Lepisosteus oculatus: one gene and its partners. The protein of the gene in region 2 interacts with the protein of the main gene of each other region in a pairwise test. Links are inferred from orthologs where the notes say so. Each region holds a gene or a part of one and is shown on either strand. Other genes may lie near its edges.

Region 1 (8,025 bases), on a different chromosome or scaffold from region 2:
TTTATACATTCAATCGTGTCTTTCATTCATATTTTGAAAAACAACTGAACAACACAGAATATGCTGGGTATCTATAGAAAACGACAGTGACATGTTAAGAGTCTTCCTTTTATGTATTAATGACTGGGTATACATCAAACTATTACAAACACAAGAGAAAAGATTTCAACCATCAGTTAACCACATTTCATTTCTAGTGGGAAGAAAAATACATTTGTGCACTTTCCAGACTGGAATAAGGTTTATTTTCTTTGATAAATATTTCCTAAATCCACATAAAGCATTCAATTTGTTTTGGGGTATTACAACACTGTAACGAGTAAAAAGTTGATAACTTGTGGTATCTAATGGCACTGTCCCATAATGCCCCAATGTGTGACATCAGAGGTTCACAATGCAGGTGAAGGTCTGGATTTAGTCACCATGGCAGTTGTCAGCAATACTGGGTAACCCAATGAGAGAGGTGGGACTCAACAATACTTTCTTCTCTTTGGGGGCACTCCACCCAAGTGCTAATGTTAAAAACGAATTGCAAGTTCAAACCTACTCCTTCCTGCTTTCATTCAGACTACATTTGTTTGTGTACTTTTAACTAATGTTAAATGAAAGCCTTTCAGCATGTACTAAAATTACCCCTCAATGAAAAGATATTTAGGCCTATTAAATTAAAGTGGGAATTTCGATAAAATAAAAAACCTTCTAGTGAAAAAAATCAATACTGTAGTAGAGAAAAAATATCAGGCCAAAACAATTATTTTATTAATCCTGCCCTGTCTTTCTGCTCTCCATTTTCACATTTTCATGAGCAGTTTATTAATGTTGTGTGTTTAACATTTTTCTAGGATAAAGATTTAAAGACCAAGTTTACAGTGCAACACTAAAGATTTAACCACAATGTAATCAAGCAAATCATTTTAATACTCTACTACTGGACATCATAATCTCCCCTGAGATTTGATGCAGCCATTTAATTAACCTTTGCATGAGGCTTTGAACACATAAATAAAGGACTCATACAGAGCACAAGACTGCTTCTGTAACAAGTATCTCTTGAAGGTTTTCCATTTGTCTCAGGGATATAGAATCCAGAAATTCTGCAAGCCACCCACTCAAGAAATACAAATTGTAATTTGGGTATTTTAACTGTCCAAAGCTTCATATACAATATGTATGTCTAACACTGTATGTACACAGTATATATGACCAGTACATTAAAAAACATGCACATCAGAGCTTGCTTTTGTGGGAATTGCAAAAAAAAAAGATACATACTAAGCCAGTCAAAGATAATAAACACACCTTAGTTCTGTATAAGAGGTTCAGAGGTAATTATTTTATGTGCAAAGTAAAGGAAATGTAATTCAATAACAACAGCAGTAGCACAACAAGGTCAAACAAAGACTGCATAACCCTAAATGATTTCTGAAAAGATCTTCCTTCAAAGTACGCTTTGTTATTTTCTAGGTTTTCATTACAAGAACAGTGGAAGAAATTTACGAACAGGAAAGGTTTGGCTGGTAAATAAAACAGTGTTAACGAAAAAAAAAACCGTCGAAAAATTAGACAAAGAACCAGCAGCGGACTTCCTTCAATTATGAAGCTAGGACTGTATGGAGTGTCCTGTATGTAGACGTATACAATACCGTTCCGAACAAAGAAAGTGTTTAAGCAGCTGTCTTAACTTTAAATTATTTTAAAATACGTTTTTCCCCCCATCTAATAGTATACCGTGGAACTCTTAAAAACTAAAACGAACACACTCTCCCACGAAGCTAAAGACAAAAACCGAAGACCTTAATTACCCTCCGACCTAAAGAAAGTGATAGTAGTATATCCTCATAGGCCTATATCAGCCATATTTATGTTCACACACAAAGCAGAGCACGGTATACTTCAACAAGCAGGACTGTTACACTTAAAGATGTACGATCAACCGGGGATATACGCCTGTTTGCCTGTGTTGGGGGACGAGGGGTGTCACTTCGTCATTCATTATTAAAAACACAGGATTGACACAGGAAGATCCGCAAGAGACTCAATACTATTCCAATACTCCCTTCTTGGTTTACACAGGCTACATTTTTGCAAAGATTCATTTACAACAAACAAGGAAGATCCTTGCCTAAACTGAATATGCTACTGACTCCTTTTTTTACTCCTTTTCAACAAAACCTAGTTGCATATTTATACGTAAAGTACATTAAAATGTCATTTGCAATTCGGTAAGGTTACACAACCATTTGTTCACAGACGATGAAAGACCATCAATGTACTAAAACACCCCAGGCTCTGCAGCAGACACCGAGTTGTACCTTAACTTGAAATTTACATTTCATACATTTTTAAAAGAAAGGTATTTTCGCACACCTCGAGGTTGGACTACACAACCTGCGGTAAGTTACTACTTCAGCGATGAAGTTCAAGCACAAGCAATACTAGCCATCGAAACAATTAAAACCAATTCCAAAAAAATCAAGCTTCTTAATTCTGGGTCGAAATTAAAAATCAGGAGCGCCCGAGTGACACCTGGAGAACCTCGCTTTGCACACCAGCTCTCTCGACGCAAGTTTATTGATGTCTCTCTTCCATGTTCAAAACCGGTCGGCACTTTAAAAATAAATGAGTGAGCTACTCTGTTTTGAACAGCAGACGGAGAATAGCCCCAGTAACATAACGTGTCTGTGAATCACTGCCTTGTCCTTTACCTCACACTGACCAAGAGCTGAACACAAAAACTTTTGGAAATTACTCCGAGAATGAGATCTCCAACTGCTGGACAGGCACGCGTGCGAGGAAGCATACTACTACCACACTAACCACGATACTCCAGTCACTTTAAGATAACACAGTTTCGTGTTGTGTGTGTAGAAATGAGGTTAATCAAAGCGAAAGGACGAACACATCAGGAAATAACAAATGCATGCTCGCAGCTGGGGTACTCACTAAGGGTCGTTTGTAAACCTGGGTGTCCGGGGAGGCTGGTATCCGTATAGATGACAATAAAGCACGTCGAAGCAGAAGCAACACATCTCCGCCGAAACAACCATCTTCCTGCTGCTGCCAGAGCCGGGTCCGGGGCTGAGGTTCGGGGAGAGGCCGGTGGTGTTATAGCCTCCCGGAGTTGGGGACAGCGCGCTGCTGTTACTGCCACTGCTACCCCCGGGACCCCCCAGGCCGTTCACACGATTCACACTCCCGGCCGCCACCGCCGAGGAAGAGCCGATTCCCAAGTCCGAGCCGCAATGTCCAGTCCCAGCTCCCCCGCTCCCCGCCCCGCCGGGACCCCCCGACCCGGGGGACCCCGACAGCTTCTGCTTCTTCACCCCGCAGCACCCGGCCGCCATCTTGGAACAATCTGCTCCGACACACCGCTTCCGACCCATCGCCGTCACCGCGGGAGGGGCGGGGGGAAACGCCGACCAGACGTAGAAATCCCACTGCGTTAACACGTAAGACGGACAATGCTCCACCTTCTCTCTTTTTCCAAATTTAATACCCAGCGTAGACTACGTTAAATTTTCAACTCCCAAACAAGGGGGAGGGAGGGGGACGCAAGGAAAAAAGAGGAGGGGGAAGACTGCAATGTCACCCGATCCTTTTTCTCTTTTTTTAAAGTGACGTACCTTACGGAGAATCCTTACGCTGTTTTCTTAAGAGAGTCTTCTGCCCACCGGACTGTTGCAAATCCACTCCTTCCACCGGACCCAGATAATTCGACAATGTGCAGGCCCCAGTGTTTTGGACAATAAAAAAAAGATGAACGACCGCGTTAAGAACAAGCTGCTCTGCTTCCACGAACCAGGTAGACGCAGACCATTTGGCACTCGCTACGATATCTGCTTAAAAGGACAGCAGCTAGGTGGTTTGGTAGAGAGGAATACTGCACTGTCAGCACAGAGGCAGCGATCCTGTTTTTGTGTGGGAGTGGGGCGACTGAGCGCGCAGGACCCACACGTTTCAGCATGAATAACAAGTAAGGCTCCGGATGAGATAGCTACCACACACCCGTTGTTCACTTGCATCCGAACTTCTTTATATTTTCACGAGTTCAGGTCCAAGACCCACTTGATGCGAAGTCCAAGCGGTCTAAAATATGCAGTTTATTTTCACAGCATCTGCAACGTGCTTGTCATTGTTTTTAAAAAAATGTAGCTGCAGCTGGATTCCACCTGCTTTTTTCAGTGCTCTGGACGTGGTTAGCGTTTTTTATTAAAATACCACAGCGTACAAAGCAGACTTGGAAGTTTACTGTAGCCCTGTGGGAAGGATGTCATCAGTTTATTCTGAGTCATTTTTGCACGACATCCTAGTCCGCAAGGCAGAAGTCCAGCTCTTTCCACTCTATCTCCTCATCCGGCTGGCAGGTCTGGATGCTGCCCGTTTCAACTGCAGTAGAAATGTGTCGTCCGACCATCCGAAACCTCTCGCACCTTTTTCTTACTGGTTCCACATACACAAAAAAAATACTATTCAGGACGTATTTTGCGATTAATTCCTACGCATAGTACGTAAATTCTCTCGGGTCATCAAATCTCTGAACCCTGCGCGCTATCTGCGTACAAAGAACAAGAGAAAAAAACTCCATGCAGTAGTATACAGTACGCTTAAATTGACAGCGCTGGCTGCGTAGAGAAGACCATTTTTATATCCTTTTATTAAGATCGGTAGCACCCTCTGATGATTCTGTTCCAGTCCAAATCCTAAAAGAAAGAGAAACAACGAATTATGAGCAATCAACGTAGAGATATTCGGCTGCCCCTGGTTTAATGAATTCTGTTTTCTGTATTGAGATGAGTCTGTAGGTAGAGCCAAAGCAATTCCCCAAGCCTAAATAACCCACAAAAGAGTAACGGAGGCCGTTTTAATGTGGTATGTCATCCTCTGAGATTACAAAGCACGGCTTTAAAGCTACAGTGCATCGCACGGCTCCTCGGGATGTCTAGTTTTTCACGCCTATACAAACAAATCAATGAAAATTGGAGAATGCCTTAAGGGCACTCCGCCGGAAAAATGCTGTATAATTAAAATTTTCAAAGCGAACTCTTCTACAACAAACACTCACCCTCCTCCCCACCAAAAAAAGATTTTCAAGTACTGCATTTGCAGCATTTCTGAAATCACTACATTTCGTTATAAGCTGATCCCGAGTCCATAAACAAGGCATGTCATTTATTTGATTACAATGTTACTCAAAGTGATGTCCTCGGTCTACTCCTCTTGACTATTCTCCAATTGCAATTTCTACCAATTAATTTGCTATATCCTATCAAAGGCATCTGTAATTTCTGCAACAAGTTCCCAACAACTTGGTCATTACAAACCCCATTAGACTTCGTAAGAGTAGGGGTGTTGTTAACCCTTGTCTCCCCGTTAAAATTGAAATCTAAGCTTGCAGTCTGGGCTACCTATAAAATCCAATTCAGTATGTGCAGTAATGCTTGACTCTACCTGACTTGGTGTGTATTGGGCTTTTGTGGCGCATCACAGATGTGGTTGCTGTGCTTTAGTGGACGAAGAAGTGAGTCCCCCTCCTAAATGAAAGTGTTTTGGGATGAAAGACTACTAACATTAACATATGAAGTGTAACCAATTGTGTGTAACTTCCATTACTATTGTTTTGAGAAAGGTACGCCAAGTGAGAGTGCATGGAATGTTAGTAACTCCTGGGAATTCATTCTCTTAACACCCCAACACCTCTTAAAAGGTTCAGTTCCGGATTTCAACAAATGATTTTTTCACCTAATGGCAATTATTAGAAAACAATTCTTGAAACCAGACTTTCAGAGGAACTTTGTAACTCATTATTTAGCTTATTTGAGCTCCCAAAAGAAATGACTGCAATTAGTTAAATATCATTAAAAAACTGAGACGTTGATGACAGATTGAGTTTAAAACCAAAACTTAAAAAAAAACATGATTCTCTTAAAACGACTTAAAGGTATTTAAATGACCTGGGCATTGAGGTATATCTGAATTACCTGAAATCAACACCTGTGGTGTTTAAAGATGAATAACTGATAGAAATGCATTGTAGCAGCCACAACTCTCTGCAGAACTGGGGGACTAAGGCAGTCTGACATAAATGACAAGTTGTAGGAGCATTATAGATAATTGGATCCTGTGTAATCAGTGTTGATTATTAGTGGCTAAATTCTTTGTGATTGTTCTTTGTGTACAAGTGTTCTAGTGATCTAGAGTCATTTGAGAGCAGTGTTTATTTGGTGTGGATGGGAGTGGGCCCTGCCTAGCAGGACATACTGTACTCTTGCAAGGTGGTGTTGGTGGTAGGGGTGTCTTGCTAGCAACAAATGCAAACATAGTAAGGAAACCTTCCAAGAAACAAGGGCAAAAGCAGTAATTGCATCACCAAGTAATGACAAACCTATGTGACTATTGTAAAAGCAGTAATTGGTGTCAGGAAGGAAGACAACTGTGGTGGTAGTATTGCCTGAGGTCCTAGTCTGCCAGCTCCCAGTGTGTAGAACAGAAACAGCAAAAGGACCTCCAGACTACGGCCTGGCCACCTGGAGCACCTGCGGGGTAACAGTGGGTGCCAGCGCCCCCATAAGGAAATCCAAGCTTGCCAGGCATCCTTGCTTATGCCAGCCACCTAAAGTGACAGTGGCATCAGCAGCAGCAACAAGTGTAAATGCTGGCTAGTAAGAGCCCGGGATGATCTGAGTGTAAGTTACCCTGTGGTGGACAAAGCCATCTAGCTGCTTCATGTCACCAGCGTTAAGATCTCTAACCTCAATGAGCTGAATGAGTCTCCAGTGCCAACAAGCCAAATTCCTGAGCCAAATCCCTGCATCTGATGGAATCAGGCCATCCACAGAGAACTGTGTTGATTATTTTGACAGATCTGCACCTTGGGAGTCTTTCTGGGTGCAGTTTAAACTGGTGGTGAAGACTAAGGCATGCAGATTGTCTCTCAGCTTTGGGCAGGACTACATGGGCCAGAAAGTTCTTCTAAATCAAGAGGGGAAACATTTGATTAACATTTAAGGATCAGAATCTCTGTACTCCCACTAGCACTGATTCAGGAATGTAGGCCCCTAATGCTTTGTCGTCAACAGGACTGGGGAGGGAAAACCCCAGGATCTTTTGTTGCTGATTTTGTGGTATCTGTCAAGGCAAAGTTACTCTAATCACCTGTTAAAATTTGCCCCCATATCCTCTTCTCAGACTGTACAAACTAGGGTCAAGGCCTGGAGCAGGCTTTTCAGATCAAGGCTATTTATTTACACAGAGGCCTCTATGATAAAGTACAGGGACAGTCAAGACAACAAATTCTGTGTGAAGAATTTTGCCACTTCCAGGTAGTTCTTTTCAGCCCAACAACCCCTTTAACATGAGGCTGTGCAAGTCTCATTTGTAGGATGGACCTGTAAGGGAAAAAAGTGTTCACATCCTGTGTAATCAGGGGAATTTTTTTTTTTACATAATTTCCTCTGTTTTCCAGATCCACCCAAGGATTGCACCAGCAGTAGAGGGGAACAATCGTAAGCCCTGGGCAGACATGGGAAAGAATAAGGATGTGGACAGGACGGTTGCTACAACCTACATTGGGCAGGGAACTCTGGACATTCCAGTCTAGGGTGTAATATTCAGCTTGCATTATGGTTGACAAGGATGCATCCTCAGCCATTTACTCACAGCAGGGGAGAAAGAGATTGGCCTGTATCTGTTTCAGGTGTTTCAGATTAACCTATTTTGGCAATTTGCTTAATGCCTTGGCCACCTTTGAGAGACTACTTACCCAAGTCGGTCATCTGCTTCATATGTGAACCTACAACTGGTGTTTCACCATATATTGGTGGCTGGATTGAAACTATTCCTAGAGAGGTGTAACCCCTTCCAATGTGAAGGGTGGTTCCTGCCTGGGGCACATAATGGGACCAGAAAGAGTGTGAGCCCAGATAAAGTTGCTGCAATAGTCTTGGTTGTTCCCTACTAAGACCAAATCAGTGCAGAACTTACTGGGACACGTGTCCCTTTACCTGTGGTCTGTTGAGTTGGTGACTG
Region 2 (8,088 bases):
ATGACTGCACTGACCTTTCTACAGTATCTCCTTCCTTTTACAGGGTCTGAAGGACTCTTATTCTAGGAAGACATCAGAATTTAAAGCTATCTTAAAAATAAGGATCACACATTCCACAATCTCTCAATGGTCAAATCATCCAATTTAAAAAAAAAACAATAATGTGTTCATTGGAATTAAATCTGTTGTTTGTTTTGTAATAACTTCTACGTGTGCTTCATGTGAAAAAATCTGAAAATCCCAAAAAGCCTTGAGATCTTTTATTATAGGCTTTATCGCACATCTGAAAGCTGAATGTGACAGAATCTCTACTGTACATCACCTGACAAGAAAACATCATTGGAGATGTTTGAAGAAAACAATGTATGATTTCTACAGATTTTTATATCAGTTGTTTGATGTCAACACCTACAATCTGTGGCCACAATTTTCATTTTAAGATTGCTGAACCTGAACATGGAATCACATGTATTTCTTTATTAAGTATATTTATTGTTCAGGGTACATTTTTATTAAAACAAAACTGAGTAACAATTTAGTTGTCTGAAAAATATGTATTTCATGACTTTTAAGTGTATGCTTCATTTCTTTGTTACTGATAAGTTACTATAGTTTTGAATTTTAATAATATTCACTAATATATGTTTTCACTAAGAACAAATATTCACTAAGAACAAATTAAAAAATACAGAGACAATCTAAAAATACTGCCTACTGACATTGTTAGAATATGAAAAATGTTATTCATTTTTGGGATTCAATATCTCAGCTTCTGGGATATTGCAAGTCTAACACAATGTGCATCTGTGTTCTAAATCGACTAATAAATGTGATATTTGCGACTGGCACTTTGATGAATAAAAACTGTTATCGCTTGTTCCTTCTTAGTATACTCTTACTTCTATGGATGTTCAGTTTTTGTGGGGTTTCAAACAAATCCCCTCTGGGTTTTAAGGAAGGCCACTTGGCAAATACCTTAATTATTTAATAACCCCATCAAACCATTTCATAAAATTCACTTGCAAAGTCAGCGTCATTAATATTGTTGATGAAATTGTTCTCGATCTCCACGATCGTCAGTATAAACATGTCTGTGGATTACACTGCATTTTCAGGCTCAGATTCAGACTGACTGAAGATGCTCTCCGTGTTGTTGATTTTGTAAGTACACTAAATGTGCGAATCCTTTTAAAATGAGGCACCTGAGGTACCTGAATGTCTAATCTTGTCTAGCAATTAGCAAATGGTTGATTGTGAACCTTTTAGCACAGTAAATGAATGGGAAACCACTACCTCACTTGTAAACTCTATGTTCTGGAGAAAGTGCAACCATTCCCAACTGTCCCATTCCCATAAGGGGAATGTACAACCTCCTTTGTTGTTCAACATCTGTCTAAATGAACCACCTGCGGTCTTGGCGTATGAAGATTCAATTATGAGAACATACATCTGTGATGTCTGCATTGACATACAGTATAGTCCAAAGAAATTAATCAGATAGAAGTTATGTTAGCATCAGAACTAAATGGGTTATTAGGACACTCCAGAATACGAACAAACTGATTCCATGTCCTAAAAAATGTCTCCAGCCTCTTCCATCTCCGAAACCATGACCTTAGCAGACTATGGCCTCAGAAGATGGTCTGCAGTCTCCAATCTGAGGAGTTGAAGGCAATGAGATTGCTGTTGTGTGCACTGACATTAGGACATCATTCCATAGTTACAGTATAGAAGAAGCATGTTATTTACACTCATTGTCATACTTTTTTAAATGATATCTGACAATGAATATGTCTTTGAAGGTGGAGGTGTTAAAGAAGGCAGCCGTCGTTGAATCAACTGATTTATGAACTACGCACATGACTCATGAATGTGACCCTTTATCGCGTCTTTTTTCTATGCGCGCACCCAAACACAGCTTGTCTCTGCAGTGTCACAGCAGTCTCTGAATAGAAGCAACACACTTTAATCACCCTTTAACCTACACACAAATACTACTGCAACCCCAATTTAGAAAAAAATAACTTAATTTCTATATCTGCTTTTCTGAAATGCACTTGTTAACAACTTCAAGTAAGCATTAATTTCCAATAATAAAAACTGGTAAACCAGTTACACCAGTCATTAATATCATCATGTGCTGATGATGAATTTTATTTGATGAATTCTAAATATGTTTATAAACTTGGCGATTTATGTATTCACATGGGTACGTAAAGAAAACTGAAAAACCTTTATACAGTATAAAACTAACTTTACGACGAAAGATTTTTTTGAACAATAGACATAGTATTGAATGAAGTACATTATAAATATTAGAAATAGCGGTTCGATATTGGCAATAAAAAACTATTGGAAATACATTATCTAGTTCAGCGTTCATATACGATCAAACATTTAATATGCAAACGCGTACGCCTGCAAAATGTAATAACATTTGGTTTAAAAAATGTTGATTGTTAATAGTGAGGTTAAGATTAACACACATTTCTTTGGTCGAAAACAGGCGAACTCTTTGTTAAAACGATGCTGCACTGGTTGTTTTCAATATATTATACGATTTAATTAATCATATATTGTATACAGTGATTTGATGAATGGATTAGTGGGTGCTTTAGTATTGGATCAACTACCAATCCAGTTAAATGAGAGCAACATACGCGTCTCCATTCACAATTTCGGGACCAAAACTTCTCAAAGTCAACATCCAGTAGCTCGGTTTCGAAAAGGGTACACGAAGTACTTGATCTCGAGTGCATCAGCTTTAAAGCCCGAGTGCACACTGTATGTACTATTAATACGTCTTACAAACCTTAAGACACTTGGAAGTAACAAAATGTATTAAAAGTTTTCTCACGGGATTTATCCGGGATCTATTTTATATGGAAAAATGGTAATATGTCGCGAATAGAAGGAATTGAAATACAAATGTTACCTCTTCTTCTTGGCTGTTATATTCATTTAACTCGTTCTCTTTTTCAGTTTTGCTGCTGTTCATTTTGTAAAGCCCGAATTCAAGTTTATGTAAGCTTTTTTTTAAGGATCCAGCTGTCAGTACAGTTGATATCCAGGAGGCAGATTAGACCCTCAGTATACAGTCCAGAAATTGAAGAATGCTAATCTCTTCAATTAGTCAACATCAAAGACCTTCGGCGTTGAATGGAAACCAGAAAGCCAAAAACAACGAGGAAACCAAGATCAAGAAACGACTAGGGTCTCAGAGTCTGGGTGCCAGGGAATCCTGCCAGTTTCACTTCAGGCTGTTACTCCGGGAAGACGCCTATGAACTCCAATTCCTAGGTCTCCAGAATACTCCACTTTGACTGCTGTGTGAAGAAAACCTGATCATTTCTCTTTTGTTGCTGGTATGGCCAGAACGTCAGACAGATCCCGACAGAAGTAAGCTTTCTCTCATTGGGAGGCTGGGTACAGAGAAACAGGGGGCAGGTCGTACTGTATGTTGTGTTCCACTTAAGCCATTAGGAATGTTTCTAAAAACGCAACTTGATAATAAGGATACGAAACAGAAGAGCGCTTCAGGCTGAAAAAGATATGCTAAGAAAGAGAGCGAGAACCAGCAAGAAGGTTTTTTGGGGGTATTTTTCATGTAGCTGTATCAGCGCAATCTTTCTTATACCCCGATACAAAACGATTATTGATCAGTTGTGATACGCACTTCAAGTAGGCATATAGATACTAAACAATGAACACGGGTCTTAAAATGTGTTTTAGTTCTAATTTTAAAGAAATTTTTATGCGCCTAAACTACATTTAAAAGACAGAAACAGCTTTCGCTCACCAGCATACATTATGCAAAATAAGGAATACTGTATGTAATACGGAGGAAGTCAGTTGTTGATATTGTCTCTTGATTTTTTTCTCCTTTGTTTGATGCAGGCAGTTTAAAGTGCATAGGCTTCCTGGCAGGAACAACTTCCTTCAAATCCCCCTTGACATTTAATTGAATAATAATTGGGTGGCTGAGATATCGTGTATAGCTCTGTCCAAGCAGTCTTCATTCAGGATCTTTAAGTCAATAGTTTGTCTTGGAGCTACTTGCAACTTTATTCAGTCTTACTTAAATGATGCCAAGATTTTCAAACTGTGAAAGGCCAAAGTTGATACAATGATCACTATGCTTAATACTTTCTACAAAAGTTTTCTTTTTCTTTGTAGGCTTCACCTTTTCGTTTTTACCTGCTTTTTTTATCTTTGGAAACAGCTCATCAGCTGATTGCTGTCAAAGGAGATACAGTACCAGGCATGTCTATGTACACTACATTTTGGTCCTGTATACGCTTATCTTTTGGTTTTCTTGTAAAGTAGATTGCACTTTGCAATGATGGTCCATATATATATATTTTAAATCCATAGGACTCATATATAATTAAAACTACAATCGACATTTCTTGTTTTATATTCATCCAATTTGCAGGATATACTGAAGGCAGTACAGCGGCACAGTAGTTAGCATATCTGCCTTGCACTGTTGTGGCTCTGGGATAAATTCCAGACCTATCTGCTATTTCTATGGAGTTTGTGTGTTTTCCCCATGTTTGCATTGCTTTCCTCTGGATGCACAGGTTTCCTACCACAGTCCAGACACATACCATTAGGTTAACTGGCTTCTGTGAAAATTGGTCCTGATGTGAATGTGCGTGTGTCTGTCTATTCTGCAAAGCACTGGTGTCCTATCCAGGGTGAACCCTGCTTAGCTCCTGTTGCTTGCCAGAATAGGCTCTGGCTCCCCCACGACCCTGAATTGGAAGAAGCAGTTAGGAAATGGATGGTAATTCTGTATATACACCTCCAACACACCCATCTGTCACGGACATTTGACCCACCAGAAACTCCACAGTGCTCTAGAGAGCAAGTGGCATTCTAAATGCACAAATGCAGTGGTATGCTCAGCTAGAATACACTAAAAGTGATGCCAGACTGGTCTTAGTTTAAACACACTTAGTAAACACATACTGTATGAAACTAATGTGTGGGAGATTCTTGGTGTGAACACACACAGTGAACGTGTGTGAAATCTGCTACAAGACAACCGAATCCCTCAGACCAGAAGGAAATTGTGACTCAAGATCAGGGATCAGAGAGTTGATCAATGGACCCACAAAAACTACCAGCTACCCTCCTTATTGAGTGAGGGTATAATTGAAATACGTTTGACTACATGTTTCAATGTACTCCGTCACCAGTTCATATTATCATCTCCAATGCCTTTAACACCTGTATGGCAAATGCTGGCCCATGTTCCATAGCAAAGAACTGGAAGATCTGATAAAGCTTTTAAAAGTTGTAAAGTTAGAGTCATCCAAACAAAACTAGTTGATTAGCTGTATAATTGTGGGTTCTAGTGGATGTTTAACATGGATTTAGAAAACTTATTTCTTGCTTGACTAGTTACAGTTATTTTAACAACCAACAGTAGTAATGGACGCACACAGAGCCTACTCTTATGTGTTGGAAGTAGTACGGATGTAGAGTTTGGTCATTTTTACTGCATCTCATTTTGTAGAGGTAGTTTGACTACCGACGAGGAACATAACTATTGAAGTGTGTTTGGACAGTTGAGGCATTTGACTAGATAAGCTTGCTACATATTTAAGGTTATGCAGATCAGTGAAAACCAGATAACTTGGCAATTTATGAGACTGGAATTCCCCTCCAGCCAGTCCATTCAACTAACACTATCTGTAAAAAGACGGACAGCAAGAAATGAAAAATATAACAGGAAAGAGAAGAGATACAGTTACAGCTTTTACAACTCACTGGGTTTTAATCATATTTGCAAGATAAAACAACAACATGGGTTTACACTTGTTTATTGTCCCTGCAATCCTAGAGCAGGTAAGTGCAAAATGCTACCTTGCCTTTTAACTCTTTCTAACTTCAAAAGGAGGCTTCTCAAAAAGATTTCTCTGAGACTTTGAATGGCATTTTAAAAAATAACAATAATCCTGATATGAACCTCCTTTGCTTTCTTTACAGGAAGTTACGAGCTTTATGAAGGTACAGCTTTTGCTTTAAATTTGAACAAAAACACATGGAGTGGATTTATTAGTTAGAAACTACATTTCTGAGTTTGACCCAAAAAACATTCTAGGTTAAATAATCAATTAAGTAAAATATGAGGACTATGAAAGAATTGATTAAATTATTAAAAAGTACAGTTTGGTAAAAAGAAAAAACAAAAAAAACAGGAAAACAGTTTTCTCAGAGATAATCATGTGAAACATTCCTTCTTTTATTTTCATTGGCTTTCCCTTGCAAGTAAGGATGGTTGTCGTCTTTGGCTCTGAATGTGACTAATGAGGCCAATACAGCTTCTTCGAGCTTTTGGGTCAAGTCTTTGTGAACTCTCTTCAATGCTCTTGATTTGCTTCTTGTTCTTTCAAATTGGTTCAGTTATGTGCCATAATCTAATCCAATAAAGCCTATGTTTATGACATGTAAGATTATGATGATAATAAATACAAATAAAATAGAGGATTACCTGTAAAGCACTAGGATTCTAAAGGATAACTACTATGGATTTGGAAAAGATAGGACTTGCTTAAGTAATCTGATCAGAGTTATCTGATCAAGCAACAGCAGTACTGAATTCAAACAGCATTTCTGACATGGTACTGTAGGCCAGGTGTAGATTATTGTGTGTTCAGAATCAGTGTAGAGTATGTAACGGGAGCCCGTCAAAGTTCCCGTGAAGCATAGTTCAGGACCCTATGCAGACGGTATAATCTGGAACTGGAGAAGGACATCTGGTGGAGGAGACGAAGAGGATCAAGACGGGATGACAGACAGGAGGGTGTGACTACGGTGATCCATTGCTCGTGGGGGCGTGGCGATGGCAAACAGGTTCAGGGAAGTCCAAATGGGGGAATCCGGGGCGCAGTCCAAATTCCAAAACGGGAATCCATCCAGGACAAAACAAACACAGTTAAAATTCGGAAAGGGATCTAGAACAGGGAGAGGGTCAGGGAACCAGGAAGATAAAAACTGGATAACGAGGCCGGGTGCTCCGAGCCCCGGACTCAGCTTGGTCAGGACACCGTTAGGAAGCCTACGCCTTCAAGCCGTGGACGTAGGACAACTTGATGGTAAGTGGTTCTCCAGGCATCTGTCTTCCAATGCAGAGCCAGGAGTAGCGAGAGCGCCCGGCTTAAATAAGGAGGGACAAACAGAGGGCAGGTGCACATAATCTACTAAAATACGAAAGGGCCGGAGCGCCCTTAAGAGGAGGGATTCTGATCATGACATAGTATGTCTCAGGACCTTAGAAAATGTGTGGAGAAATTTCCAAAGGTTCTGTGTCATTTGTAGTGATTGAATATTCTTACAGTCCTGATCTCTAAGGGGAGGGAAAGAGGACCCACATGTTGGCACAGTCCCCATCATTTGATCTGTAATATGATAGTTTTCACTCCATCCTTGTTCTTAGGTATATGGCTGGTAATTTATATTCCCTTGGATTACAAGCCTACAAAATTCTACAGAGACAGAGGCTGGCAACAATCTAGAGGGATAATTTCCAGTACAGTAAATGGCAATTGAACTTCATTAGCATTAAACCAGATGCTCCCTTCTTCATTATTAGATTACCACAAGAATAAAATCCTTTTGCTCCAGATGATGATTTGTATAAGATAAAGGATGTACCATTTTCCATTCCCAATACTCACCTGCTACATAACCTTATTGATGCACCCATATTGATGCCTATTCTGCAAAAGATGACCAAATGTAGAAGATGCAGAAAGCGCAAAAGATGAAGAATAGGAAGATTAATAATAAGATGAGAAGATGAGTCCTAGAATGACGATGCTTGCAGTACTCTATCACTGGTCATTCTACTCTTTTGGTGCACTCTGTATTCATAATGTTGTAATTAAAATAAAAAAGTGACATTTCTAGAAAATTGCAACTTTAGAAACTTTAAAGAGAACGAAATAAATGTAAGATGTACTGTAAATAAAAAATGCCTGTCCTTTAACAATGCAATACACAATGCAATGTAATATTGCTTTATTAAACAAGGCAATTTGGTATAACATGATGTTTTTATTCATGACTTTGAGCAGT
Region 3 (8,513 bases), on a different chromosome or scaffold from region 2:
GGGACACTAGACTGTAAACAGGCGCCGTCCTTCGGATGAGACGTCAAACCGGGGTCCTGACTCTCTGTGGTCATTAAAAACCCCAGGGTGTCTCTCGAGAAGAGTAGGGGTGTTACCCCGGTGTCCTGGCCAAATTCCCCCCCTGGCCTTTACCCATCATGGCCTCCTAATAGCCCCCCCTCTCTGAACTGGCTCCATCACTCTGCCCTCCTCCCCACTGAGAGCTGGGGTGTGGGGAGCGGACTGGCGCCTCATCCAGGTGGGGGTACACACTGCTGGGGGTGGAGGGGATCCCCCTGACCTGTACAGAGCTCTGAGTGGAGTGTCCAGAAAAGCGCTATATAAGTGTAAGCAATTATTATTATTATTATTATTATTATTATTATTATTATTATTATTATTATTTTCAAACAGTCAAATGTGTAAAGACGATGATGCAGGATAAAAACCTGCTTCAGAGCAGATCCCCCCGGAGAGCATGCCAGAAACAACGCCGACCTCTGCCCCGGGGCGTGACCCAGAGGGTAGCGCAGGCGCCATACGCTGGACCCTGGTTCTAACTCCGCGGGCCCGAGCTGGCGTCGCGAGGGAGCCCCTCCTCAGTACCTCGGCAGTGACGGTGGGCTGCGGAAAGGAAATGGCTGTCCTGAATTTTTATAACGCTTGACTTTATCTGTCACATGAACTCTGACATGGGAATCATCCTTTTTTCTGTGAGCTGATGATGTGAACTACTGTATATATTGCTGCGACAGAACATCAGAAAAGATGCCAATAAACAATCAAGTCAAACACAAAAAAATGGATCAGGATTATGATATTGGCCTCTGCTACTTCAAGTAATGAGGCTTTCTTTTCTTGTGAGGCAGACGCCTCTTTTAAGATCATGAATCCCGTTCAGGATGTGCATTGGAACTGAAATTCAGGGAGAGCCAGGAAAAGTGACCATTGTTACCCTAAAATATCTCCCCGTCTCTAGAATGGGAACCCTGGGAGGTTTCTGCAGAATATGCTTGTCTTGAGTGGGGGTCACCTATGGCTGTGACCCCCTTAGATGAACACAGTCCCCTCCTTTCTACAAACGCGAAGAAGAGAAGGGTAGCCCATCGCAGGTTTCATTTCCCGTTACAGGGTGTGTTTGCGCCACTTGACCAGCAGCCCCACTTCCTCATTTCCCCCAAGCAGAACATCATGTCCGGAGAGAGAAAAAGTGTGACGGCACTCTGTTCTTCTGACTTGTTTACTTTCAAATGTGTGAAAAAAATATTTTGGTACTATTCGCAGATTCTCTTGTGGATGTTGCTGTCAATCGGGAAGTCTGAGCAGCTTGTGCGGATAAGTTTAGCTAACAGAGACTAATCCGGTATTGAGACGTTTTGTCTTCTGTCTGTGGTGCAGTATAAAGCTGAGCAAGCAAACTGCCATGTTTGTGGTTTTAATGTTTTACAAGAACGACAGTATCCTACAGCAGAGCTGTGGGCAAGATTAACCTTGCTCCTTAGGGCGACGATCATCTTTTTATTAGCAGATTTCTAAAGTTATGTTTTGACAACATTACGGGTCATGAACAGACTGAGGTTGGCGAAGAAATCGTTCCAAAGTGAAACAGTGGGTAGATAGTGCGTATATCCTCTTGTACTGTCTGACCACACACCCAGGCCTAACCAGAATGATGTATCTCACCAGCTACACTGATTTCTTGTATGTCGTATAACTAATATTTGCTTTTTTGGCCTGGAGGATCATTGGCCTGGCGATAATTAAGTCGTCACAGAGGAGACAAAGCATTTGGTTAAAAATTCTGACTGCCAAGATTAATTTGTATTTAAGGGGAGGGCAGTAATGCTTTTTTAGGGGAGATCAGACTCTGGTGGATCTTGCAGTGCATTCACCCTCCTTTGGGTGGCGCTGTGGAGCCAAGCAGTGCCCAGACCAAGGAAGGGCAGTGCGGGGTTGCATTCTAACTCAGCTCATAACGAACTGGATAGTTCATTACTGGCTTAAAGGGGAACTGTGAGGCTATTTTTATATTTTTAGATTAGAAAGAATCTTTTTTTTCCCCTCCCCATTTATTCTTCTCTCTGGACCTGTGTTCTCGGACCCTCGTCAGGTTCAAGAGGAGAGGAGTTTATTGGCATGAGTACATGCAGCCGGCCAGGAGCCATGTCACTCTGCAACTCACAACTGGCAGCCCCACTGGAGCCCAGCAGTGGGAGCCTGGCCAGTACCTGGAGGGGAGACTCCTGGGAGAGCTGAGGCTGCTGCTGGAAGAGGTGTTAGTGGGGCCAGCAGGGGGCGCTCACCCTGTGGCTCATGTGGGTCCTAATGCCCCAGTGTAGTGACGGGGACACTAGACTGTAAACAGGCGCCGTCCTTCAGATGAGATGTAAAACCGAGGTCCTGACTCTCTGTGGTCATTAAAAACCCCAGGGTGTTTCTCGAGAAGAGTAGGGGTGTTACCCCGGTGTCCTGGCCAAATTTCCCCCCTGGTCTTTACCCATCATGGCCTCCTAATAACCCCCCTCTCTGAACTGGCTCCATCACTCTGCTCTCCTCCCCACTGAGAGCTGGGGTGTGGGGAGCGGACTGGCGCCTCATCCAGGTGGGGGTACACACTGCTGGGGGTGGAGGGGATCCCCATTGTGTCTCATTGTCGTGTTCTGTTCTGGGGGAATACACAGTACAGCACACAACACCCCCCTACATTACACAGTGTATTACAGACATAATAAAATAATAATAACAACAACAATAAATAAGTTGTGGACAACAAATATGTAGTAGTGAGAAAACAAACAACAACAACAACATTGGGTATTGAGTCTGAGGCCTTGTTGTTAGCAGTAGCCGTTGAGGACGCGGACTGGGGCCTGAGCACGGTCTTTCACCTTGACATTACATGTCCGTTCACAGCCCGTAAAAAAACCACACGGCTCATCACTGAAAGAACCGGTCGCGGAATGTCACTTCAGGCTACACGGGGAGGAAACGGTGAAATTACAAGTTGATGTGCTCAGAAGGTGTCTCTCTCCGGGTTTTCTAAACCGTTTGGGGGGGTATTTTAACCCCCAAAGTAAAAAATCTTTTCGCTGGACAGCGACGTTACGTCGAGTTCACTGTCATGGTAACGCGCGTTACCGCTCAATCCCGCTACAGGGCCGTGTTTGAAGTACAACGCAGTATTGGCAGTATTAAAATTTAAAAAGGCGTACTCAACGGCTTTGATTGATCGCTTGATTCCCGGTCCAGATGGCAGGAGATTAAAGATAAAAAAAAGGCCACTGTCCCAGTCCTTAATCTTATCCCTATTTATACCCCTGTTGCGTTTCTGTGTGCGATTGACTTTTAATGCAAATTGTAACACGGGTCGCGTCACACTGCGTAGACGTTACCTCTCGAATCTCTTTTTTTAAAAAATAAGTTTTTTATTTAACCCGAAATACAAAAGAAAAAAAAGGAGACGGAATATTGAAATAGATACAGAAATAGACACTTCGCAGGCCAGAGGAATTCACAATTGTAAACACTAAACATTATAGCTCTACAGGAAGGCCAAGGAAAAGAGACGTCGCCGGAGACCGTGTTGGTGGTCCAGCCGCAATGTGGTAAAATTTAAATTTAAATTTAAATTGTCAATGCAACTCTTTATTGCCATGCCAACAGCTTTGATCTGCCCCCCCGTGGATAGAAGCAAGGCAAACAACAGAAAACACATATTACACTTATTCATACTTCTATCTGCAGCAATCAGGATATACCTATCGAGGAACCTAACGGGCTCTAGGAGAGATCGGTGCTCAAGACCGTAGGAAAGTGGTTGAAATCTCAGGTCAGACACTGCTGCTGTGCATTTAAGGGCGGTCGTACTGTGCGAACTGACTCTGGATCGTCACTGGAAATGAGAACTTGTTCACCGTACTTATCTGGACCAATACGAGTAAACCCGGGGGGCTTTCGGCCCCTGTTTGAGGTCATTTGATTTAAGATAGCTGACCGATCACTCCAGTCGTTTCTGGTAAGAAGCCAGGGTGTCGATTTCACCACCTTGGCTGAGCGGTTTGTTCCACACTCCTACCACCCTTTGTGTCCCCGCCCGTCCTGATCCCAGGATCTTATCAAGTCGTCTCTTGAGAAATCTCCAGGGTGTCGGCTTCAGCAACGTGACTGGGCAGCTTGCTCCTCACTCCCACCACCCTTGGTGTAAAGAAGTCCTTCCTGTTCTGTTTTAAATGGACTCCCACAATGCTTTCAATTGTGTGACAAGGGATTCTCTGTGATTTGCTTTTAGGGATATCCTTTTATTAATTTTTTTATTGCAACCACAAAAAATTGAATACACAGCCGTACATACAACATAATCACTGCTGTACACACCTGAAGAAGGCTCCACGGCCGAAACGTGTTCTTTTTCTTCTCTTTTCAGCCTGGAATAAACCTATTACTTGTTCCTTTGCGGCCTATGCCTGCTGACGCAGCTCCCCATCTTAACTACTAACATAATCAAAGGTACATGATAAGTTTCAATTTAGAAAAAAATACTAAACTAGTTAACGTCAATTCTTTCATGTACGTACGTGTAGAACTGGTCTGGAGATATACTCTGATGTCTGTTTTAAATTGTTCAAATATGGATCTCTTCCCAGACCATTTCATTTGATGTATTTTTTTGTAAACATTACATTTGTACAGTTTTTATTTAAACATCAGAAATAAAATGTATATAATAACAAGCAAGTAAAATGATTATGTCAATAACAAATAATATTTTTGTTTTTCTTTACAATGGGATTCAAATATATATACTGTATATGGGAAATCCCTTGTGATTTAACTCGATCTCACTTGCACAGTGCTTACTGCCCGTTAATCTATACATGAAATGAAATGGTCTGAGAAGAGACCCACCTTTGAACATTTCAAAAGAGACATACCTTTCCTAAGAGGGCATACCTTCAGATATAATTTCTAAATGTAAGGACATGAAACCGTATGTGCGTATTTTATCTTTATTGACTTTGTTTCATCTTGTTTCGTAAAGAGCAATCGTGGTATGCCCCCCCTGATTCTGGTATATGTATGCTTGTGTATACTGTATGCATTTTGTTTCTTGTTTTTGTTATTGTGGCGACGCTTTTAAAAAAAAGAAAGAACTTCCACCGCACAGTCCGCCATTTTGAAGAGCTCGAAGACCGCTTTCCCGCCCCCCGCTTTCCCCACTTCCGGCGCACGACGCGGCGTCAAGCGACGCACGGGCTACGTGCGGCGTACGTGCGCGGAAGCGACGCCATTTGCTGCTGCTGCTGCCGCCGCCGCTACTGCTGCGCCGTGGCGGATGTTGGCTTTGCTTATAACAGACCGAGCTGAGCGGGAGAGGCCATTTTTTGTGTGTGTGTGTGCGCAAAACTTAAGGTAGCTTTCTTTTTTTAAACAAAAATTCAGTCATTGAGGCCTCGTCTTAAAAAAAACAGGCATAAAACGGAAAGTCGGGATTTGGTTGCGATAGAGCCCCCCGCGATCGCCGGAGTCGTCTTGGAGCCGCGCCGGGAAAGAAAACGGTTTTGTTTTTGTAAGTGAGCGGAGGAGGAGGAGGAGGAGGGAGGGTGAGACGGGCTGAACCGCCGGTTTATTGTTTTCTGCGCTTAAAACGTTAGCATACTGTGTGTCCTCGGCCGCTTTTTGGGGGTTTTTAAAAGCGCTTCCCCCGGCAGGTAGGAGATGGCGGGCGCACCGCGTTAAGGTCGTCCGAGTTCCCTGGCGGGAGGGAGCCAGTCTCTCCCTGGGCATTGCACGCAGACAATATTCCACGATTATTATATTTTTTATGGCGGACGTGCGTTATCGTACTTAGGTGTTCAGTTGTGTGTGAGTGAATCGGGGGGCGGTAGGCTTGTTTCTCGCTGCCTGGGGGACCTGCCCCTCGCCATGAGGCCCGTGTGCCTCTGCTGCTGCTGCTGCATTGTTCTGGACCCGGAGCTTCACCGTCCACCCCGGTGCACCGGAGTCCAGCCGGCTTAGAGGGGGCTACGGCCGCTGTACCTGGGTCTGGGCGCGCTTGGTTAATGGGTCACTCATCGTCGCTCCTGATGGGCGATTTAAAGCAGAAATAATACTTGCACGGAATCCAAAAAGGGTATTTTCTTGTTCTGGGAAGATGCGCGGCACACGCAACTTTTCGCCGGCGCGCTGCTACTTTTCCTGCTGTTGGAAGTCTGTTCCCGGTAGATTTGCGCCCACAGAAATAGGTCAGGCCGGCTGTGTTGCACAAAGCTTGCACGATGTTGGGTGGGGGGTAGTTTTTTTTGGGGGGCGGGGGGGGGGGGGCTTATATCCGTTGGATCGCTCAGTATCGTGACAAAGGAGCCGGGCGAAATGGCCGGTCTCACCCATGCGCTTTTTTTTTTAAGCAGCCCGGCTGTCGGCTCCGAATAGTGTGGCTGGGTAGGCCTGTTCCACCCCCCCACCGCCCTTTGTGTAACGTGCTTGGGGGAGCAGGGACCTGAGCGTCCGGGCTCGTAACTGGAAGGGTGTGGGTTCAAATACCAGGCGAGACCCTGCTGTCGTACCCTTGAGCAAGGTGCCACACTCGGGGAAAACTCTCCAGGAAAAACCCCAGCTCCCATACATGGGAACACGTGTGTGGTGATTTGGATAAAAGCATCGGCCTGGGTTTTTTTTTTTTAAAGTCATTTGTCTCCCCTGGATTGTGTTTTGCTGGTGGTTTTAACGTTTGAATGTGTTCAGTTCACGTCTTTGTGTTTCTGTGTGTATGCGCGAGTTGTTGTGTTTTGATAGCAATGCGTATGACTTGTGTCCAGATAGTCCTCACCCTCCTGCGCTGTGGTGTGTATAGTGTTGGTGGACCAGTAGGAGCCGTTTTCCCTGCTGAACCAGAATTTCCCAGTAATTACCCCCTCCCGTATGGCGAGGGGACAGTGTGCCGTAGTAGGTGCCACTCTTCAGGCGAGACGTGAAGGTTTGGACCACTGGGGTATTAAAAATCTCAGGACTGTTGGTAACAGTAGGGTGTTTATTCCAGTGTCCTGGCTGAACTCCGCTCTGGGCCTGTGCAGTTCAGTCCCGATACATTCAACAGGCGAAGCAGTTTCTCTCCCCTCCCCATGATCTGCTGTGTCTCCCAGGTGGGGGCTGCCAGTGCAGAATGATCACTGTGTGTCTCCCAGGTGGGGGCTGCTGGTGCAGAATGACCACTATGCGTCTCCCAGCTAGGGGGCTGCTGGTGCAGAAGGATCACTGCGCGCCTCCCAGCTGGGGGCTACTGGTGAAGAATGAGCACTGGGCGTCTGTATGTAAAGCAGTTAGGGTTGAAAGGCGCTCTTCAGAGGCCAGGAGTCCCCTGCAGTTTATGCTGTCTGCTGTTTTGCAGCGGGGCTTCAGATCCCTGCGTTGGTCCCTAACCTCTCCCCCACCCCCCTGCTTCCCTTCCCGCAGAGCGCCAGAGGAAAGACTCACCATGGTGAAGATCTTCGTGGGCAACCTGTCGCCCGACACCACGGCCGAGGAGCTGCGCGCCCTCTTCTCCCAGTACGGCAAGATCTCGGAGTGCGACATCGTGAAGAACTACGGCTTCGTGCACATGGAGACCAAGGCGGAGGCCGACGAGGCCATCCGCAACCTGCACCACTACGAGCTCAACGGGCAGCCCATGAACGTGGAGATCAGCCGGGGCAAGGCCAAGGCCTCCACCAAGCTGCACGTGGGCAACATCAGCAGCAGCTGCACCAACCAGGAGCTGCGGGCCAAGTTCGAGGAGTACGGCCCCGTGGTGGAGTGCGACATCGTCAAGGACTACGCCTTCGTGCACATGGAGCGGGCCGAGGACGCCATGGAGGCCATCAACGGGCTGGACAACACGGCCTTCCAAGGTGACGAGCCGCGGGCGGATTGGGGGCCAGCTGCCCCGTAGTGCTGGGTTGTAGTCGGGGTCTCCTGGCCTTCCTATGTTTGTGGTCTGAGGGTGGGTAGGGGTGGGGTGTACCATCCCACAGACGGGTTGGGGGGGGGGGGGGGTGGAGGTGTGGAGCGTACCATCCCAGTGACGGATATGATTGGGGGGGGGGTGAAGGTCTGGTGTGTACCATCCCAGGGACTGGTGAGGGAGTGGGTGTAGGAGTGGGCCGTACCTTCCCGGGGGGGGGGGGGGGGGAGTGGGGCCTACCATCCTGGGGACAGGGGGGGAGGAGTGGGGCGTACCTTCCCAGGGACGGGGGGGGGGGGGGGAGTGGGGCCTACCATCCTGGGGACGGGGGGGGGGGGGGTGGGGCGTACCTTCCCAGGGACGGGGGGTGGAGGTGTGGCTGCAGCAAAACCTCCCCAGGTTTTCTCCCGTCGCGCTCCCAGCCCTCGGCGGTTTCTGTCCGCCCCCGGGATCGGACGGGGCCGGGAGGGAGCGGTCGAGGAGATCGGGATGCTTACTCGCACCGTACGGCCCGCGAGACACACGCCACTGCACCACCTGTGGGCCGCGCGTTCCGAAATTCCGGAAGAACAAATAG
Region 4 (7,819 bases), on a different chromosome or scaffold from region 2:
AATAATGGGGCTGATAACCCCAGTGTGCTGGCTAAATCCCACCCCAGGCTGTACAGCCTGCCCTCCCTAAAGTTCCCCCTTAATTCAACAGGCGGATTTTGCACTTCAATCATGGATGAACTGGGTTTCTTCATGGATGTACTAAATGATCGTGTTTCTATCTTTTCAGGGAATTCCTTGGAAGTGGCTGCTTGGGGCTCTGGTAGTAGCCATCGGTTGTTTACTGACAGCAATGTTCCTGCCAGGGAGGAACTAACAGCACCTGTTTCTGAGGCACCACAGCACCAGCAGATCTGCCTAAAGAAGTGTCCAACACAGATTTGCAAGGCTTAGGAGCTCACTGTAGCAGTTAAATGAATGTTCTTCTTCACATTCTTCCAATGTGTAAAAGGACAGCACTGGAGTCTGATCATATGAAAGCAAAGTAGATGTAAGAAGTCATTTTATAGATACATTTAAAAAACTGGTAGTATGTCAGCTTATACACAAACAATAGTCATGCAGTTTTGCAAGCAGATGTAATATACAGTATGGAAGTGATGGAGAACCTCACAACATCTGACTGGCTCATGAGCAGCTCTCACACACCCACATTACAGGTTGAATTATAATAGAGGTGGCAGTGTCTGGATTAGCTGCTGACAAAAGAAAACGACAGATTGATAGAATATCACACATATGCAAAATACATCGGTCTAGGGGAATAAATAACGATGACAGAAAAACTGAGTAACCCAGCGCACAGATCCCAGATATTCTGTCAGATGAGATGTACTGTACAATGACTGGACATCTTTTTTAAACGCACATTTAAAAACGTGACAAAGAAATGTTGGGAATTTATTATCATGCCACCAAAACGTAATATCCTGCCTGCTAGTTTTTTCTTCTGTGGCACCTGGATGAACAGACTGCACTGATGAATAGCACAGAAGAAGCATGCCATTCCAGGCCAAACTGGACTTGATGATCCTGGGACTGGAAACGGCCTTTCCAAAGGACCTCTGCTGCGAAGGGAATTTAATGGAATAGTGTAGCTACTGCCTTTGGGATGGAGGGGGTGTTCCCATCCCTTTCCTCACCGTGAACTCAGTGAAGGACTTCCAGATCCCTCCTGTGTCCCAGGCCAGGACAGCTGAGGAACAAAGGCACATCCGTTCCAATTCATTCAATTAGAGTACACCGAAGACTGACAGGCTGACTAATACCCTCCAGCAATGTTCCCTCTAAACTGTGCGCAAAATCAGTGCACATAGGAAATTGAACTGCGCACAAAACATTAAATTAAAACGGAATTGTAATCATTAAACACGGTCGTCAATTGAACAAAACTCAATTGACCACATGAGACTGGCTGCGAGAGGCGCAACGTGGCTGTGTGCATTACTATCGCTACTCGATCACCGATATCAATGGTCTCGTACCTCACTGCTCATGCTTGCTCCGAACTCTCTCTCTATGACTGGGCTCGTTGAATCGCTGTCCCGGTCGTTTGGATCTCTATGCTTCTATATCAACAACAAAAATAATTTCTGGTTTACAATTTTACATGTACCCAATTTAGTGCGCAAAAGCTTAAGTCACTGGGGAAAAATTTGCACAACTTTTTGATTTTTTTGCACACACAAGCCATTACAAATTAGAGGGAACGTTGCCCTCTGGGCTCCAAATTCTGACTTTCTATTGGTCCCCATTGAGCTTCGTAGTTCGTAGTGCTCTTGCAAACTACAGAAACTGTTGTGACAAGATATGCAGCTATTTGTTTAATTATAGAGAGCATTTCCTTCATATGATATTAATACAGAGATTAATTAAAGCATTGTAGTTTTCTATTGTTTTGATACTTCATCCTGTCTGTTTTTTTGAATATATAAATTATAGCTATTTGAAGCTGCTCTTGCCTCTGATTATTTTCTTCACAACATTTTTACATTTAGAATCAAAGCACGTCGATCACTGACTATTTCTTACGGTTTCCGTTTCACGTTATTAGTCTCACGGGTGCTTTTTGATGGCACCCGACGAGAGGTACAGTACGTCTTACTTCTATCAAGTCGGTCAAAGTAATTTTTAGGATTACGTAAAATTATAACTAAAATTTCGCTATAGAGTTAAGGAACTAAGAAGTTTTATTTCGACCACTGGGTGGCACTCGTGTGCCAAGATCTTACTCTACTCCGTTTACTCTGTGAGATACTCTGTGAGCCTTATGGAGATAATATTGATGGTCTTACCCACTGTATCACTGACTACATAAACTTCTGTGTTGACAGTGCAATGCCCACCAGGAAAGTGCGCTGCTTATCCAATAATAAACCCTGGGTCACCAGTGATCTGAAGGCCGTCCTAAATAGGAAAAAGAGGGCTTTCCAGGCAGGTGACGAGGAGCTGAGGCGAGCACAGAAAGAGCTGAAGGTGAGAGTTAGGGAGAGCAAGGTGGCTTATGGGAGGAAAATGGAGGACAGGTTGAGGGAGAGCAATGTGAGAGAAGTGTGGAATGGCATGAGGAAGATCTCTGGATACAAGTTGTTTGGCGCCCAGCAGAGTGAGGGATGCCTGGACAGGGCCAATGAGCTGAATCTTTTCTTTAACAGATTCTATACAGGGTTCCATACAGTGGTCCATTCACCTCACAGGCCTTCATCTCAGACACCCTCTTCATGTCCTCAGTCACCCCATCATGTGATCCCTCCTACTCCTCCTACTCCATCTTCCCCTGCCCTCCTCGGCCTATCCATCACAGCTGACCAGGTCAGAAGGGAGTTGAGGAGACTCCATGCAGGGAAGGCAGCGGGTCCTGACGGTGTCAGCTCTAGGGTGCTAAAGATCTGCGCAGACCAACTGGGTTCAGTGCTGCAGTACATCTTCAACCTGAGCCTGAGATTAAAAAGTCCGGTGCTCTGGAAGACATCTTGCCTGGTGCCAGTACCCAAAAAGGGGCACCCTAAAGTCTTGAATGACTACAGACCAGTGGCACTGACATATGCATATTGTTATTTTATTGTTTTTACAGTGACTATGAGCATATTTTGCACATACCTATGTATTTATTTGTATTTATTTTATATTTATATTGTATTACTGTACATATTCTAATTTTTCATATTTAATCAATTTACCCTCGGGATCAATGAAGTCTTATCTATCTTACCGCACCAATTTAGCACATACTGTAGGTGGATTTGTCCATCGGACAGACTGACAGTGATGCCTAAAATTAATAATCGGTTTTTGACGTGGTTGGCGTTGTTCGCTAAAACTGAATCTGTCGCAATTAACAGAATACAAGTTCAATACAGTATCACTTATGAAGGATTGGGTTCTTTAACGCAGAGTTGTAGCAAATAAACTAAATTAAACTGACAATGGTCAATTGAACGAGTTATTAAAACGAAAAAAATCAAATTTAAATACTATGCAAGACAGCATCATCCTGAAGCTCTCTCAGGTTCACATGGGTATGTGCCCTCACTGCTGCCAGCTCAAGCCAGCCCCCCACCGTTAGGGACTCAAACCCAGGCCTCCGGCATCACTCAACATGGACCCAGCCAATTAAGCTAACGGGAAAACTCCCGTCAGTTTAGCGGCTGCGGTCCCTGCTATCCACGTCATCGCGCTAGTAAGCCAGCTCGAACAACCTGCAATGCTGGCAGTATGCGTTTCAATATTCAAACAAGGCAAAAGCCGAGTAATTCAGACGCCCCTTCCTAATTTGACTGTTTTTGTCCGTAAAAAAAGGGAGCCCAGTTGACCCTCAATAAACTCTCAGTGCATAAAATGATGAATTTCTGTTCCACATGATTAAATTCATTAATCTAACGCCAATGATCGAAGACTTCAGCCTTAAACGGTGGTTTTGGAGGGAGTCCCCACCACCTGTAAAACGCTTTGAGTGGAGTGTCCAGAAAAGCGCTATATAAGTGTAAGCAATTATTATTATTATTATTATTATTATTATTATTATTATTATTATTATTATTATTATTATTATTATTATTAAACACTATGCTTTGAAGTGAAATAAGAAAGGATAAGTACAAGCGTTACAATAAGCACATCAATCCAATCCAGCCTTCAACACGATATAAAACGTAACAAAAAACTGTATTTTAGTGTAAATTACATTTTTTTATTTATTATAGTGTAAATTACATTTTACATACTATCGTACCAGAACAACACAGCCAGTTTAAAAAACACGTCCTTTGACACTTGTCGAAAGTGGCCAATCAGGAGATCGGTGAATATTCAGGAATGCCAAAAGCTCGACCAATCAGAATTCAACATTTAGTGCCAAGGGGTGGGAGGGTGTGCTGAGTGAAATCTCGCGTTGAAGTGACGTCATTTAGAGGCTATCAGTACAGAGGAGGGAGGCAGGTAGGAGAGAGAGCAGCCCGGAGGGTTCGCTACTTGGAGCGTGGAAAAGACCATCTAAAAATGACAAGTAGGTTTCTAAACGTCTGTTCCTTCACGTCTCTGCTTGAGATACACGCTTCGCGTGTCTGTGTTTAGGAAGATGTGATCCGGTGGCGATTCAGCGGCGCTACAGTGTGACCGACAGCTCAGGGAGGCAGGCGCTAGGCCGGAATGCTGTTTTGCGCTATATATGTTTTGTTACGTTTAACTGTGTCGCTGAATTAATTAAGGCCATAAAATAACCTTTTATGTGGGGTTCAGTAATACGAGATGCGGGAAAATAGTTCAGAGGAGGGCAGGGAGGTATGTGGTGTGAACTTGTAGAAGGGGTTTGGTGTGTAACTTGTATCGTTTTCGCTTTAGATAGTTAGGCAGAAGTGTTAACAGCCAACGACTTTACTTTAAGCGGTACTGAAGGAGCTTAAAATTGTGTTTTGTATGTCCTGACATTGAAAAAGAGCACGGGTTATGGCTGGAAATCGGTTTTCTTTGTCATTACTGCATGTAGCTCATTGCCATCAAGTGGGTGGGCTGGGGATAAGTTGCTCGTTTTGTGACCCAAGGACGGTCGTTACAGCTGTTGTAGTTTTAACTCCTCCACCGAATGGGGTCGTTAAGAAAGCGCCGTGTTCGGGAGCAAAGGAAGGGTGTTTTGTTATTGTTTTCAATGCGCTGTCAGCCATGTGAGCTCTAGAGCGCCCCCTTGCCACGTCGCCGGGCTGGTGAAGCTGGTGAAGCTGTCCCGCTGTCGCCCGGCGGCCCAAGGACCGTCAGACTGCTATGTGGATGTGGACTTGTGTTGTATAAATAGACTCCACGTCCTTAAAGTGTGTGCTTTGTGAATAACCCTTTGAGGAGGATAGAAAGGGCAATGTTACTAAATCCTGTTAATGCAGCATGGGTTGCCAGGAATGTTTGTATGTCCCACAGTGAGGACGTCTTGCGCTGGAATGGTCGATTCTGTACTTTCACATGCGGGGAAGACTCATGAGTACAGCTAGTACAGAAGTATAGTAGCGTGGCGTGTTGTGAGCTTAACATAGTTTCTGCCGTTTCTCTGCAGACTTGTTCCCAGGTTTGAAAGGGTGACTCTTGTGTGTGACCCCTTTCTGGGTTCACGACCCAGCAGTTAAGTGTGTGGTAGTTCAGAAACTGGACTTTTAATTCGGTCATTCGTGTACATTATGCTGTCATTGATGGCGGGTATGAGTTGTCATGTATGGTGAAATACAGAACCATACATGAGTGGGTATACAACGTCAAATGTGGGAAAGCTAATTATTGCTACTGTATGTGCTCCCCCAGTTTGGCATGGTCAGGTTTCAGCTTCACATTTCAGCTTACAGTGTGAACCCCCAAGACTGCTCACGGGGGAGACTGGGGTAGTGGAGGCAGGCGCCGCTGAAGCTGAACTTCTCCACCACCTGGGGCGGAGCGTTGGCTCTGTGTCTAAAGATCTGCGCCTGTGGCTGGAAGGCTGCCGGTTTAAAATCCCGCGGCCGGCAGAGGAATCCTACTCTGTTGGGCCCCTGAGCAAGGCCCTTAACCCCAACTGCTCCAGGGACGCTGTATAAATGGCTGACCCTGGGCTCTGACCCCCAGCTTCTCTCCCTGTCTGTGTGTCTCTTGGAGAGCAAGCTGGGGTCTGCGAAAAGACAAATTCCTGATACAAGAAACTGTATATGGCCAATCGGATGATGTTATACCCTGTGCTGGGGAAGGTCTTTGCCTGCGGAGCCCCTCGTGGAGCCCTCGCTCACCGGCGGTTGTGTTTCTTCCTCATGCTGCCCACAACCTGCAGGGGGAAATCAGCGGGAACTTGCCCGCCAGAAGAACGCCAAGAAGCAGAATGAGCAGAGCAGGGGCAAGAGGAACGAAGACGGCCTCTCAGCCGCTGCCAGGAAGCAGAGGTATGCAGCTGTTGGCCTGCCCCACGCTCGAGGGCAGTACATGCGTCCTCTTATCCTCGGGCTTAATCTTTTCGGACTACAGTGCAGTAGGCTTTTGAGTACTGGTTCCCAGCCTGGTCCTGGAGATGCAAACCACCGTGTCTGCCCATCTTCATTCCAGCTGAGCTCTTCTTGCATCACCACTGCAACATGTCTTGCGTGGCGAGTTTTGGTTTGCGTGTTTCAGCATGCGGTCCCGAGTTTCAGAAATAACCTACTGCAAGCGTATTGCTGCCACTAGCTTTATCTGTACAGTCAAGTCATCTCTCCTCAAGTTTCATTGTTTATTACTGAACAGCTGCCACTCAGCTGATGATATATTTGTCATTTCTGTTTTGTCAACTGTAGCCCTTGTGAGCATTTTAAAAGTCCTTTATTGAGTTATATTTTGGGAATATACCCGAGTTTTATAGAATTTGTGTCATTCAGAAATTTAGTACCAAGTTGAAACCAGTTACAAATCCAGTTTGGTTCTAAAGAAGGTTAATATTCCATAAGCAGAATATTGACATCGGTTCTCCTGCAGTTTAAAAAAATAATCTGGGACAAATCACGTGACTACAGGCCCTACTGGAACAAAGTGAGGAACCACTGCTTTAAATTACCAGAACTTTGTGAATAGCTGTTAAAATGTCCAATTAAGCCAATAATGAGCTGATTTAAGAGAACAGCACAACTGGAAAGAAACCTTGATGATAAACTGTCCCTTAGGGCATAGGAAAGGAATTGCCTGTTTTCAGAGGGTTTTTGAATCATTGCCTGCTTTTAAATCTGAGAAAAGTATTAACTTGGTTCAGTGTATTGAGTCAGCAATTTCTACCTGATGCTTAATAGAAAACATCTACACTGTCATGTAGAATAGAGATCTGAGTTCAGCAGAGATGGGGCCACAATTCCCTGGACGCATTTTTCTCCCATTGGCCTTGATTACTTAATTGAACCACAAATTCATCTTTACCCATGTGACCTCCTTGAACTGTGGAAACTGTCTGATGTAGATAACTGGGTGAACAGACCTATATAAGAGAAGCTAAAAGGAATCACATTTACTTAATGAACCAAATTTAGCTGTAAAATGCATACGTTTGGAGAATGTTAGGCAACATTTTTTTTGCTTTTGGATCCAGAGCTTTGGTTTTAGATAATGGAAACTTCTGTTTTGTCAGTAAGCAAATTATGTTTTTATGCAACTATTTAACATGGGTGTCATCATTATCTAGACCTGTTCAACCTTTCATTTAAAACTTAATGCATACCTCTTTTTCTTTTCCAGGGATGCAGAGATCATGCAGCAGAAGCAAAAAAAGGCTAATGAGAAACCGAAAGAACAATCTAAATAACCCAATGAAAACATTGCTTCAGACAAAACTTCATTTTTACAAGATTCAGTCTCTGGCACAGTGTTCTTGGAATTAAAAGATGAGATAATGTTTTGTTTAAGTACCATTGTATAG

What was found.
Region 1: the proteins of RNA-binding protein with multiple splicing (region 2) and ammecr1 interact in binary tests that used the Homo sapiens proteins (3 or more experiments, as listed by UniProt). The two-hybrid records come from large-scale screens. The link is inferred for Lepisosteus oculatus from reciprocal best matches to the Homo sapiens genes RBPMS and AMMECR1.
Region 3: the proteins of RNA-binding protein with multiple splicing (region 2) and sf1 interact in a two-hybrid assay, tested with the Homo sapiens proteins (3 studies listed by BioGRID and IntAct). The link is inferred for Lepisosteus oculatus from reciprocal best matches to the Homo sapiens genes RBPMS and SF1.
Region 4: the proteins of RNA-binding protein with multiple splicing (region 2) and serf2a interact in a two-hybrid assay, tested with the Homo sapiens proteins (2 studies listed by BioGRID and IntAct). The two-hybrid records come from large-scale screens. The link is inferred for Lepisosteus oculatus from reciprocal best matches to the Homo sapiens genes RBPMS and SERF2.

Annotation. Positions count from the first base shown.
Region 1 is NC_090703.1:35,398,577-35,406,601, reverse strand, and holds the start of ammecr1 (nuclear protein AMMECR1), read right to left. Parts: upstream 3,495-8,025; 5' UTR 3,384-3,494; coding exon 2,944-3,383; intron 1-2,943.
Region 2 is NC_090696.1:69,304,714-69,312,801, forward strand, and holds the start of RNA-binding protein with multiple splicing, read right to left. Parts: upstream 3,464-8,088; 5' UTR 2,999-3,463; coding exon 2,936-2,998; intron 1-2,935.
Region 3 is NC_090713.1:21,525,180-21,533,692, forward strand, and holds the start of sf1 (splicing factor 1), read left to right. Parts: upstream 1-5,288; 5' UTR 5,289-5,332; coding exon 5,333-5,409; exon of another isoform or gene 5,410-5,566; intron 5,567-7,449; coding exon 7,450-7,883; intron 7,884-8,513. UniProt on the Homo sapiens protein: Necessary for the ATP-dependent first step of spliceosome assembly. Binds to the intron branch point sequence (BPS) 5'-UACUAAC-3' of the pre-mRNA. May act as transcription repressor.
Region 4 is NC_090700.1:52,440,532-52,448,350, reverse strand, and holds the start of serf2a (small EDRK-rich factor 2), read left to right. Parts: upstream 1-4,342; 5' UTR 4,343-4,437; coding exon 4,438-4,444; intron 4,445-6,217; coding exon 6,218-6,326; intron 6,327-7,638; coding exon 7,639-7,705; 3' UTR 7,706-7,819. Other genes in the region: fkbp16 (FKBP prolyl isomerase 16), read left to right, coding at 170-256. UniProt on the Homo sapiens protein: Positive regulator of amyloid protein aggregation and proteotoxicity. Induces conformational changes in amyloid proteins, such as HTT, driving them into compact formations preceding the formation of aggregates.